Linked DNA regions of Astyanax mexicanus. The protein of the gene in region 1 interacts with the protein of each later gene in a pairwise test. Links are inferred from orthologs where the notes say so. Each region holds a gene or a part of one and is shown in the gene's direction. Other genes may lie near its edges.

The links.
Region 2: the proteins of pak1 (region 1) and rhoj interact in binary tests that used the Homo sapiens proteins (3 or more experiments, as listed by UniProt). The link is inferred for Astyanax mexicanus from reciprocal best matches to the Homo sapiens genes PAK1 and RHOJ.

Annotation. Positions count from the first base shown.
Region 1 is NC_064416.1:5,300,596-5,307,626, reverse strand, and holds the start of pak1 (serine/threonine-protein kinase PAK 1), read left to right. Parts: upstream 1-3,920; 5' UTR 3,921-4,144; intron 4,145-7,031. Other genes in the region: aqp11 (aquaporin-11), read right to left, coding at 1-142. UniProt on the Homo sapiens protein: Protein kinase involved in intracellular signaling pathways downstream of integrins and receptor-type kinases that plays an important role in cytoskeleton dynamics, in cell adhesion, migration, proliferation, apoptosis, mitosis, and in vesicle-mediated transport processes.
Region 2 is NC_064408.1:70,190,365-70,197,493, reverse strand, and holds the start of rhoj (rho-related GTP-binding protein RhoJ), read left to right. Parts: upstream 1-4,057; 5' UTR 4,058-4,402; coding exon 4,403-4,616; intron 4,617-7,129. Other genes in the region: kcnh5a (potassium voltage-gated channel subfamily H member 5a), read right to left, coding at 2,213-2,285.

The DNA of each region.
Region 1 (7,031 bases):
GCAGCGTGGAGATGAGCTCGGCCGCGTACGCGCCGGTACCTGCCCCGGCCCCGAACAGTAGCCTCGCGCTCGCGCGCCTCGCCAGCTCGCACGCGAGGACGATTCCCGCGAGCACGAGCAGAGAAACCGCGAGGTCCGCCATGGGGAGGTCCGGTGGGGCGTGCGTGGCCTGATTCACGCCTGATTCCCGTTAATCCTCCATCTCTCCTCCGGAGAACCGGCTAAACACAGGCTAACGGCTTTAGCCTATTATTTTGCGCCCGTATCCCGATAAACCACGCCCCCCCCTGTTTTGGGATTTGTCAGTCTCTATCCACACTTAAATACTGTCCGATGATTGGACATCATCACCACTAGTTTTCATCACCACAGTAACCAGAATGCAGTGCAGCATCACCTGCTAATGCTATTAATGCTGTCCATGCACTATTTGCAAGACTGCAACTAGATTCTTTTTGAGATTAATTCCTATCATGCTTCTGGTGGAGTTTACATAAAATACATATAACATATTAAATATCATAGACTTACAACGTTTGTCAGATTGTGAGGTCGGAACTAACTTGTATAATTTGTGTGGGGAAAAGAAGCTTATAGTCAGAGTTGAACACAATATAGACAGAAATAGACCTGACAAGACAAGACAACCATATATAGCTCTGTGATAAAATAAGAGATCACTTCAGTTTCTGAATCAGTTTCTCTGATTTTGCTATTTATAGGTATATGCTTCAGTAAAATGAACATTGTTGGTTTATTCTATAAACTACTTGACAACATTTCTCCCAAATTCCAAATAAAATTGGTCTATTTAGAGCATTTGTGTGCAGAAAATGAGAAATGGCTGAAATAACACAAAAAATGCAGAGCTTTCAGACCTTAAAAATGCAAAGAAAACAAGTTCATATTCATAAAGTTTTAAGTATTCAGAAATCAATATTTGGTGTAATACCCCTGGTTTACAATCACAGTTTTCATGCATTGGCATGTTCTCCTCCACCAGTCTTACACACTGCTTTTGGATAACTTTATGCATTTACCCCTGGTACAAAGATTCAAGCAGTTCAGCTTGATTTGATGGCTTGTGATTAACCATCTTTCTCTTGATTATATTCCAGAGGTTTTCAGTTTGGTAAAATCAAAGAAACTCATATTTTTAAGTGGTCCCTATTTTTTCCCTACAGCTTTATATATAATTTTAGAAATGGTGAGAAAATGATTGAAATATTCAAATACGTCTCTTCCCTAATATCATAAAATCATTCAAGGATATCAAGGAAAGGTGACATCCTTGTCTTGCAGTGTCTTTTTCTCCAACAAGACAATATCAATACTGCAGCTGGCCTGAAGGTGATGCCAGAACACTGTGTAACAGTCTAACAGCGTTATTTCCATTAACAGGCAGAAATGGCAGTCTGTGTCCAGCTCATTCAGCTTGCAGTAATTCTCAAGGGAAATCAATAATGTCAGCATCGCAGCCTTACATTTACGATCAACAATAAATCACAGACCAGTATCTACACGATAACGTTTGGACTTGCATTATTTATAACGTTTAGATGATTATAGCAAGGTAAATGTCTAGTAAGCTGACCAAAAATCACTTTTTAATTTCCTAGTGTAATATGTGATACTACATATGTAATATATATTAAAAAAATATATATATATAATTGGTTAAAGTGCTTTGACCAACAGAGAACGTTATAAGAATGTTTAGCAGCATTTTGAAGATGTTCCTTCCCGGAACATCTTCAAAATGCTGCTAAACATTCTTATACAGGTTAGCCTGTAATTTTATATAAATAATGTTCCAGGAACGTTCTGAAAAGAGTGACATAATAAATGTTTGTTATTAGAACCTTTCTCACGTAACGTTCCCAGCCAGACGAATACTAACGTTATGGAAACGTTAAACGTTAAAACAATTCCAAAGCTAAAAATTAAAACACTGATACAATTGACGTTGCAGCGACGTTACCAGAACGTTTAAAAACGTGAATTGTAACCCTTAGAAATTGTTCTACTGAGAGAACATAAATAATGTTTCAAGAACGTTTTAAAAAAGTGTGACATAATAAATGTTTGTAACACAACGTTATTAGAACGTTTCTCACGTAATATTCCGGCTAGACGAATATTAACATTATGGAAACTTTAAAAGTAACAATTTCAAAACTAAAAATTACATTGCAGCAAATGGCAGCAAAAGTGCCATTGCAGCAACGTTACCAAAACATTTTAAAACGGTAATTGTAACCCTGAGATTTTTTTCTACTGAGAGTTTTGACTACAATTAGCATTTTAAAAATATGTTTTAATATTTTGTTCATGCCATAGAACTCTAATGTTCAGTGACGATTAAATAACATATATAAAACAGTTTAAAATAATATCTTGCAAAAAATATTGACACAAAAAAAAAACAAATAAACCCATAGATTTTAATAAAATTTATTATTCCTGGACGGTGCTTATCAGCACTTCTTACAGGAAATTGAGTAGAACACGTCACCGTTGGTCAGCTCTGCCTGGCAGTAGTATTAGAATAGGGTTCATGAATATTTAAAGAGGCCCCGCCCTCGCTGTGCCCATATTCCATGAAAGCCCCGCCCACACCGGCCTAAGGGGACAGACAGGCGTCCACCTCCCACCTCTATTCCGACAAACCCCGCCCCCTCTGCTGCTATTGGCTAGTAGTTAGGTCATACTCTCTCCGCCGGGTGGACGGTGAGGAGGGTAGAACTGATGGGATTGGTTGATATATATGCAATGAATGTAGTACATTTTGTAGTTTTTAGTTAGAGGTTTTTATTTGAGCATTTTTTTTGCCTTTTGTCCCTTAAATCAGGATAGAAAATAAACGCTAAACTCCAGCTTGTCTATTTCACTGAAATTTTGTTTTACTGAACAAAACAATACATTCACAAGCAGCAGTCCCAATATTATATACAGGTGCTTCTCAAAAAAATTAATTGTATTATTGAAAAGTAATTTTATTTCAGTAATTCAGTTTAAAATGTGAAACACATATATTATATAGATGTATTACACACAGTGTGATCTATTTATTTTATTGTTGATGATTATGGATCACAGCCAATTAAAAACAAAAATCAATGTCTCAAAAAAAATAAATATAATATATAAGACCAATTGGTACCTTTGTCAGTGTGGGCAGTGTGCCAAGTCCTGCTGGAAAATGAAATCTGCATCTCCATAAAAGTTGTCAGCAGAGGGAAGCATGAAGTGGTAAGATTTTGCGGGAAAATACTGTACTGACTTTGGACCAAAACCAGCGGATGACATGACTCTGGGAAACGTTGGCATCAAAATTGTTAGAAAACGTTTTACTAACTAAAATTGTTCACTGGAAAAGTAAAGATTAGTAAAGAGTTTAGAAGAGTAAAGACTCTATTCAATAGAATATTGTATTTTTATTTGCCAATTTGCCAATTTGTCCACTTCTTTTTTATTTTATTTTTGAGATTTTTGAACTACTGATAACTTAAGGCCCTTCTGATTGAGAAAAAACAGTGAAATTTAGAAATTCTATTTTATTTTCATTTTCGTAAAATATATACTGTTTGTGTCACATCACGACCAGTTCTGTGGATTTCGTTAAACTACGTCTACTTAACAACCGGTAAAATGTGCACAGTCTTTGTTTTTTTTATTAAATACAATATAAAACGTTTACTTTTATAAAAACATTGAATAGTTGTATAATTAGAAATGTATACATTAAAAATGTATACTGCAGCGATAATATCCTAACCGTCCAATTACAATGCTCGCCTCCTGATCATGCAGACCAATCAGAGCGCAGGAAAGGCGGGGCACTTCGAATACGGGTGGGATGCGTAAAAATGGCACTGACGCTGACGGACCGAATTTGGAAGCGACCACTAGCAGAGCGCAGGGTGGGCGGGGCTCAATGCAGCAGGGTTGTGTGTGTGAGAGTGTGTGTGTATGTGTGTGTGTGCGCGTGCATGTCACACAATAGCGAGGATCCGGCAAGTTTAAGGTGAATGAGAGGGGCAGTGCACGCGGAGAGAGGAGGTAGAGAGAAGGAGAGAGGAGGTGGAGAACAAGAAGAAAACCGGATTGGGATTTATAATTCGGATCAGCTCCGGTTTCAGAGGTGAGTTTTGTTGGGGAGGGATTGGCACGCGTGGGTACGCACTCAGGCCGGGTACCCCTCTATCTGTCTAGGTATCTATCTATTTATCTGTCTGTCCATCTGTATGTCTATCTATCTGTCTACCAGTGCCCAGACTGGAGGGAGCGTGGTGTTAGGTGGTAGGCATTGGTAGACAGACTGGTAGACATACAGACAGATAGACAGACAGCAGGTCCTGCTATCTGCTGCTGGGTCTGAGCTGTAGGTGTGTGTGTGTGTGTGTGTGTGTGTGTATGGTACAAGAGTTGGCCTCATGTTCTCCAGTTCTTTTCCATTCCACCTTAAAATTCCACCTTAAAAGGTGCAGTCCATACACATACTGGAGAGTCTGAGGCTTCTACTGCTGGGTCTTAGCTGTAGGTGTGTGTGTGTGTATGGTACTAGAGTTGACCTCATGTTCTCCAGCTTCTTAGTTACTGGGATTTTCCATTCCACCTTTCCGCCCATACACATATACTGGAGTGCCTGAGGCATGATGAGACTGGAAAATCCTAATAAGATGCATAAAATTGAATCCTCTGACTTATTATAAGCCATGGGAATGAATAATTTGTATATTAATAATAATTTGATATTAATATGATATATATATATGCTGTGTGTGGACAAGCGTTGTCCTGCTGAAAAGAAATGTTTCATTACCTGAAAGATGAAACCCGCTCCATGACAGGCAAGACATGTGGCTGCTGAGCTGTTATTGTCTCTCGTATCACTACTATGGGTGAACAACTATAGTATGTGTATATGTATAATTTATTTTATTTTATTTAGAAGATGTATTAATTTTATTATAAACAAAATAAGCCTTGTATTCTTTACAATTTGTTAAATAAACTAAACCTTTTGACTAACAGGAGTATGTGTGGTTGGGGAACCAGGAGGGCATGGGGGCCTCGTTATTCTATGTTACGGGCTGACCTAGACCAGGTCGTAACAATATATATATATATATATATATATATATATATATATATATATATATAAATATAACACTTCATTCTAGATCCGGACTATTGCTGATAATTATCTGTCATTTAGAATAAAATAATCTCTGATAATCTGTGAGTACATTTAGCATGTGTTCATTTATGTCTTTTGCTAGTTGTAAAAGTAAAGTTAAAGAACTTCAGTGTATTGTTGGAAGATTTCTGAATGTTTATTTTAATAAATGTTTTATTTGAATTTCCTTTGGTACAAGTTGCTCAATTTGATCCACATTTGAATTCCCCTCCATGATGCTTTCATCTAGTAGACTGGAAGAGGTGATGAAGAAATGATCTGTTTATTTCATAGTTGATGCTGTTTTCATGAAGAACACACTTTTAAATGACCTAACCAATAGATACTGAGCTGTTTGCATTATGCATTTGAAGAAACAGTGAACTGACTAACCTACAAGACTTTAAACACTTAAATTTCATTACAGCATCACAGAAAAACATGGGTATCTGATATGATGCATGAAATGCTTCAGGTTGTTGTTGCAAAATTACAATACTACACACTACTCATGATGTGACACTCTATTGTGATACAGTACAATACATTACATTACAATACAACACAATCTGATACACTGCAGTTACACGCCTGAGTCTCAACCATGCATGAAATTGAATCTGGGTCTCTGCAGAGATGATCCAAACTGATCTTTTTACTCCCTCACTGATCTACTAGAGTGTGTGTGTGTGTGTGTGTGTTAGAGGTGTCACAATACAGTGAAAAAAAGTTTCTACAATAATATTAAATGTGACAGTAGTGGAAAACAGGCATTTGACTTAAATTGCTGATCACAGCGCACTACACCCACTAAAACACCGGTTTTGCCCTTTATGAAAATTGACCAATAAAATGCTCCTGAAAAAACTGGAATACAATCTTTTTACATTGACTTCCAGTGAAATCATAAACTGATCTACAGAAAGTATTATTATTAATTGCTTTCTGCCTCAAGATATCTGGAAAATACTGTTTCCAGAACTTCTTCTTTCTGAATATTATTATTATTATTATTATTATTATAAGAATTTCATTCTGATTTGAAACAATTCTTAAGATCTCTTTATATGAGAGTGATTTTGTGCATCAGGACATCATGAATGTGTTTTGTACAGCCCATATACCTATTCTTCTTTCTATTCTGTGTAAAAAGAGGTATGATTTATATAGTTTTTAATATTATTATTATTATTATTATTATTATTATTATTATATTTTTTCATTCCTCCACTTTCTCCCCAATTTACACAGACAATTACCCAACCCACTCATTAGGACTCCCCCTATCACTAATGATGCCCCAACACACCAGGAGGGTGAAGACTAACACACGCCTCCTCTGATACATGTGAAGTCAGACTCCACCTCTTTTTGAACTGCTGCTGATGCAGCATTGCTGAGTTGCATCACAGCGCAGGAAAGCGCAGCGACTTGGTTCTGAGCCCACAAGAGGTACAATATGTCCCCATTATCTAAATTTGTATACAAACTATTTAAAAAATATATATATATAATAATTAATAGGGGTGGGACAAAATATCAGTATCACAATATTGTTTAGCTGTAGTTTGTGATATATTATTGATACGTGGCGTCAAATATCAATATATTTATTAAAGCACAGGTGCTCTAGACTTTCTATGTCTTGCCTTGATATATCGAGTATTATAATAATGTTATTGTTATAGTGGGCAATTTAATGTGTTATATTATGTCCTGGGATGCCCTGTGATTCCCACCCCAATAATTGACACTGGCATTATTATGTCAGTTAGAGATTCTGAATGTTTCAGTTCAGTTTGAGTTAATTGCTCAGCCTCAGCTGCAGATTGTAAAATTCTAACACTGG
Region 2 (7,129 bases), on another chromosome or scaffold:
CTGGTTCTATTTTAAGCTCTGCAACAAAATGCTTAAATAAACACGTGTAGTGTTGGGAACAGTGAAATATGTAGAGTCATTATGCAGAACTGACAGTGTGGAAAGAGTCAATGAGCATACAGCATTTAAGCCTCCACATTTCACAGATATCTGCACTGTTACACTGTTCCTCCTACGATCATGCCAAGAAAACAAGCTTCATGTGTAAAGGGTGTGAGAAGAGCAATGAAGCAATTATAAAAGGAGTTCTTCAAGAGTTATTTACCAAATTAAACGGTTATATTTAAAAACAGGACTACTCAATCATTTAACCGCAACTACTCCTTTCACCAGAAAGAAAACTCATGGAAAACTCAAGCCATGGAATCGGCTAGATTGTGCTTTACACACAAGCCTCTTTGCAAAGAGCCTGCGTGTGAAAGGGAATAATGAAGAGGGAAAAGAGCATCACTTTTGTTCCTGTAACCGTGTGTGACCTCTGCTGGTGATCGGCACTAAGTGAGCACAACCACGCACACACTCCAGCACTGACGGATGACTTTACAGTAGTGAGTGTGTGGCAGCGCAGCCGGAGCGCCATGCCATATTACTGTATCTGTAAGTACTTTAGGACTTTTTACAACAACACTTTTAAGAAAGAGATAGAAAGACACAGAGAGAGAGAGACAGACAGACAGACAGAGATGTGCATTATCTATAGCTGTTTGATATGTTGGAATTGCTGAGAAGCACCACAGTAATTTCCATCAAGCACCTGTCTATTTCTCCCCGAACAAAACAGCTAAAGAGGCAGCATTTCCATTTTCATTATTCGATGTGTTCCCCTTGAGAACATATTGTCCTTAAGTCTGCTAAAACAATAATAATAAGAAGAACAGGAAGAAGAAAAAGAAGAAGAAGAAGAAGAAGAAGAAGAAGAAGAAGAAGAAAAATGGTGTCATGCAAGTAACACTACTTAGTAATGATAACAGTAATTTTACTGTATAAACAACAGCAGCAACATCAATACTAATAACACTAATTATCATAAAAATAAAAACAACCACAGTACTAATAACACTAACTATGTTAATAATAAGAATAATAATAAGAAGAAGAAGAAGAAGAAATATAATTATTATTGCTTTTGTATTAGTATATGCTAGGTTTAGGGTTACAGTAATTGTTATGAAACTTCTGCAACTATTTAGGTCAGTAACGATGACAGTAATTTTACTGTATAAACAACAGCAGCAACAGCAAATAACACTGTTTATGATAAAAGTAATAACAACCACCACAGTACTAGTAATACTACCAATAGTAAAAGGAACAAAAACAACAGCATAAACAATACATAATCAACATCAATCTTAGTGTTAAATGAACAATGCAAATTTCACTATTTAAAATGTTAATTAAGCGTTAATAGGGTTAATTTAACAAACTGGCAAACGGACTGTGTATTAGTAATTATAGCAGTACTAATAATACTAATTATACTAATAACAACAACGACAATAATAGTAAGAAGAAGAAAAAGAAGAAGAAGAAGAAGAAGAAGAAGAAACTCATTATACAAATCGTCATCTTTTGTTTTATCAGACTAAACTGCTATTAAACTGTAATAACACTATAATAAATCGCAAAATCTTCAAACGGGGACTGAGACGATCAGGCAGCTCTACAAGATGTGAGGCATCCGGAGCTGATGAAGTTCTGTGATCAGACTCTCTCTCGTGCAGGATGTTCCACAGTTGCAGTGCTGAAGAACAGCGCATTAAAACCAGTAGTGTATCACAGCTAGCTTACTTTCACCAGGATCTCTCAATTACAGCTGTTAGATTAAACGACTCAGCAGACTAATAAACCCTTAAATATCAGCCCACTTCATCTCTCTCTCTCACACACACACACACACACACACTCCGCAGAGTGATGCTGCAGTGGACCTAATGAGCGGATAACACGCAGCGCTGAGAGCAGAACTCTTACTGTAAGAACATCAGCAGCCTGTAAAGTACTGAAGTGCGCTGAGATCAGTGCTCTCACATGGAAGCATGTGCACAGAAAAGTTCCCCACAAGCAGCGGAGATGCTCCAATGCTCTGTTGCAGATAGCGGGAGTTCTGGGCAAACACGGCGCGTGCCGTCCGTCACCCACCTCTCCACATTTACGCACGCGGAGCCCCGACTCCAATTCCCCTCCACTAAAAAACAACGCGCGCTCTTACCGCTCGAGCGCCGCACGATGTTCTCCAGAAAGGTGTTCTGCGGTGCCACCAGGCCTCTCTTTCCGCCGTGCATCCTGCGCTCCGCCGCGAGCGTCTGTGGCCCAAGCTGAGCGCGCACACCTGGCCGAAGCTGATAGCGAACGTGCAGCGTGCGTGCGTGAGTGTGCGTGTGTGTGCGCGCGTGGTGGACTCGCTCATGGTAACGCTGCGCCCTGCCCGCGCGCCTCGCCCAGCTCCACTGTGGCCCCGGAGCTCCGCCGGCTCCGCGAGCTGCGCGCTCACACACTCTCTCACACACACGCACACACCCGCCCCCAGCCCCCCCACCACCTCCACCACCACTACCGCCACCTCGTGTGCGAGGAACGCGCGTGCGCACTGCGCGCTCCGCGGACACGCTACACAGGCAACAGATGGGAGCTGTCGTGCAGCATCTAAGCATATAACGGAAATGCACGCGCCTGATTAACCTCAGTGTCTCTTTAAAAAAAAAAAAAAACATTTAGGCTGATTATTGTGAGTTTTTTTTTTCTTCTTTTTTTCTAATTGCATATCCCCTGGAGAAATAGACCTTTAAATTTCAGTAAATGTTTAAATAGAAATCTGTTATTAAGTTAAATATTCACCACCAATACGGGATGATGGGGCAAAGCTGTCACGTATCACAGTTAACATTTTTTTTTATTTATTGGTTGTAACTATTTGTAGTTTAAATAGGCTGATTATAAGGGTTATAATAATGGTGAAGTAATTGACAAACGGATAGAGAAACATTATAGGCATATCCTAATTAACTGACGAAAAGTATCTGGCTGTAATGATGAGCAACTTGGATGGATGGATGGATGGATGGATGGATGGATGGATGGATGGATGGATGGATGGATGGATGGATGGATGGATGGATGGATGGAACGCATGGACTAAACAGTAAGATAAATTATTAAAGGAAAATTTGATGGTTGGATGAATTGACAAATTAGTTATTCAATCAATTAATCAATGAACGGAGAGGGGTGGAATTGATAATTGGCAGCTAAAAAAGTGATTTCATAATGAATGAATGAATGAATGAATGAATGAATGAATGAATGAATGAATGAATATCTGGATTGGAGAACAAATACAAATAATCATTTAATCAGTGAATTAATAAATGGCTCAATTGAGATTAAAATAATGAATGCTTAAGTCAATTATAAATATGGTGGGTACATTGGAGAATCAATACACTTATCATTTAGTAAATGATAGTGAGTGGATGAAATCATTGCCAATTTAAAGGATAGATTAATAAAAACATCAGCCATTGGTGGTGGGATTGGAGGAATAGATGGATGGATGGATGGATGGATGGATGAACGGATGGATGAACGGATGGATGGATGGATGGATGGATGGACGGATTGATGGATGGATGGATGGACAAAAAACAGTTTAGCAAAGAAGTTAAGTAATGCTTGGATTAATGAAAGTTTAAAGGATAAATACGCTAATGAATAAAGCATGAATTAATCAATCAATCGATCAAACACTGAGTATATGAAGGAGTGCACCAGTAAATAAACGAAATACTTATTCGTGGAAGGATGAACTGGAGTCGTATAGGCAAATTCATTTTTTTTTTTAATTCATTCATTATCTTCAACAGGTAATTATTGGTGGTGTAGATTAACAGAAATTGGAGAGTATGGAGGGATGAGGGGATGAATGACAGCAGTGCGCAGTGGTGGAGTGCTGAGGAGTGAAGTGCTCCAACTGCTGGATTACTCCTCCTCCACCCCCCCTTCTCTCTCTCTCTCTCTCTCTGGATTCCCCCTCGCTGAGTGGGACAGAGCCCCCATTGTTTCCAGCCCACCGCTGCCTAATATGGACTTGGCCAGCAGCAGCGGAGCTCTCTGATTTCCTGAACTCGGCCATGGCGCGCGGAGAGCCGCGGGAGCGCCGCGTGAGGAGAGCGCGCGCGAGGACGCGGGATGAGAGCGGAGAGCGTGGCTGCCGGTTTGTGTGAACGCGCGTGCGAGCGACGGCGCTGCTGGCCGGAGGTACGGGAGCTGAGAGCGCGAGGAGGAGAAGAAGCGAGCGGGTTTGAAACAGGAGGCGACAGGAGGAGGGCGCGAGCTACGGAAGCGCGCGCGAGAGCGTCCCGGTGAGAAATTACTGTAGCCGTTGTCCCCTAGGCGGAGCGCCATGCCTGCGCGCGGGAGGCGGAAAAGCCCCGGCGGAGCGGCGGCGGCGGTGGAGACGGTGGGGGAAGGCGGAGACGCCGCGGCGGCGACTAAGAAGATGTTGAAGTGTGTGGTGGTCGGGGACGGAGCGGTGGGCAAGACGTGTTTACTGATGAGTTACGCGAACGACGCTTTCCCCGAGGAGTACGTGCCGACCGTGTTCGACCACTACGCAGGTAAGCCCGGTATTTACTACAGCTGAACAGTCCCGGGGAGTACAGAGCCGGGGTCCGGACAGGGCCCTCCGAGTGTAGTTCAGTCTAGTGTTCTCTTACACCTCCCCTCCCCTCTTACTCCCAACACAGGCCCGAGAACAGGCGCTGAAACAGGAGCCGGGTTAAACTCCCACGCCGAGGACTGTCAGGCCTGAGACTGAGCTCACTAATCTAACTTCTGCCCTCTCACACTTTACACAGTGCTGTCTGTCAACAGCTGCTTTAAGAGCTGCCTAATAGATATAGCCTACAAAACACGTGTACAGTCACCTGTGTGTATACAGTGCAGTGTAGGGAAGTCAGACCAGGCCAACCTGTTGATCCCAAACTGAATCTAATCTCTAAACTCTATATCCAGAACAGAGTATAGAATACAGAATATAAAAATTATAGAGTATAGAATATAATGTTGTATCCTTTAATCTATCATATAGCTCTGGAAGAAAATAAGAGACCACTTAAAAACTATGAGTTTCTTTGATTTTACCAAATTGAAAACCTCTGGAATATAATCAAGAGGAATATGGATGATCACAAGTCATCAAATCAAGCCGAACTGCTTGAACTTTTTGCACCAGGAGTGGCATAAAGTTATTCAAAATCAATGTGTAAGACTGGTGGAGGAGAATATGCCAAGATGCATGAAAACTGTAATTAAAAACCAGAGTTATTGCACCAAATATTGATTTCTGGACTCTTAATGAGTATGAATATGTACTTGTTTTCTTTGCATTATTTGAGTTCTGAAAGCTCCGCATTTTTTTGTTATTTTAGCCATTTCTATTTTCTGTTAATAAATGCAGAAAATTAGAAATGTCTAAAATGAGAAATTGTCTAAATTACAATATTTTTATTTGGAATTTGTGAAAATGCTGTCCGTAGTTTATAGAATAAAACAAAAATGTTCATTTTACTCAAACATATACCTATAAATAGCAAAATCCGAGAAACTGATTTAGAAACTGGTCTCTTAATTTTTTAAAGTTTTAATGTCTGTTTTAATCACATTGACTAAGCAAAAAACCTTAACTATAGTCTGAGCAACAATATGTTTTAGGTTGAGTGAGAAAAAAAAGAACATTTGTAAAAATATGTTTCTGAGTTTTATTGTGTTGTAAAAGACTAGAGTTTTACAGTGTACCAAAAAAGAGTAAGTAAAGTCATATAGTTACTGTAGGTTGTACTAACCAACACTTTTTTATAAGGTTTAAGCAACTTCTGAGTTAGTATAGTCTACTCACAATTACTCTTTCAAACAACAAAATAATTTTAAATGAAACATACTGTTAAGACATTCTAAACAACCCATTTATGTATGATGACATTACTCAACATCACACTAAGGAATAGATTGTTTCACTTTAAACTCTGAATAAGGGACAGCTAGGTTCTTAGAATTTAAATGACTGTGACATTAACAGATGCCAGTGTTTCGAATGGCTTAATTCTGTAGTAGTGCATGAATGGTCACTGTTGGCCTCAAGCCAACATAAAGCCTCACTTAGCAGCAGAAAAAAGGATTAACCTTCTTTTACAGTTTTTAGCACTGAAATGAGGCAGCTAGACATAGGGAAGGTGGCCTGTGGGGATGACTATACACTGGTATGAATCAGAGGGGGTGGTATGTCCAGTATGCAAATGGTTGGTATCAGGAGCCAATGAGAACCAAGGTGTAAGTTTTATTCATAATTGTGGCAGTGACCAAACTTAAGACACACCCCCCCCCCCCCCCCCCTCAAAAAAAAACTTCACCTACTGAAACAACTCATGAGATGAGTGTCTCTTTGCACTTCATTTAATTACATTTCACTCTATGGCCATCAATACTGTCTGGAGCAAGTTAATGAGATGAGTAGTGAGTAATAGATTAGTAAATACTGCAACATGAGGGTAAATGTCCCTCTCAATAACCCTCTTAACACTTTTAAAGAACATAAATATACACTAACATGCCACATGTCATGAGACAGCATCTGGTATTGTTCCATGTTCCATGGAAGCTGAAGTATGCTGCATTGACATGTATGATATCCAAAAATATCTACAAATCTTGGAATAAAATGTAATGAAATCAAATCTAACTGGCACCCACTATCAGACCTTACTCAAACTTAAATAATAATTCTTGTAGTCTTGCCATGAGCACACTGGCCACTGGTCTTCAGCCTCATTCACAAGATAACAGCTCACAGCGTATAAAGTTATAAATGTTTCCAGGCCATTCCCTAAGATAAATAATGTCATAATCAGTTGTTCATACTGTTAGTCGTAATTTTGGAATGTCAGTGCAGACCTGATATGACTTTTGTCTCATCTGTGTAAAGGATGTTCTTCCAGAAGCATTGCTACTTGCCAATATGCGTTTTAGCAAAGTCCAGTTTAAATATTTTATGCTTTTCTTACAGTTGTAGGATTCTCCCGGGTCATTTTCCGTGGAGCCAACAACAGATGGTGCAATCAAACTCTGCTTTACC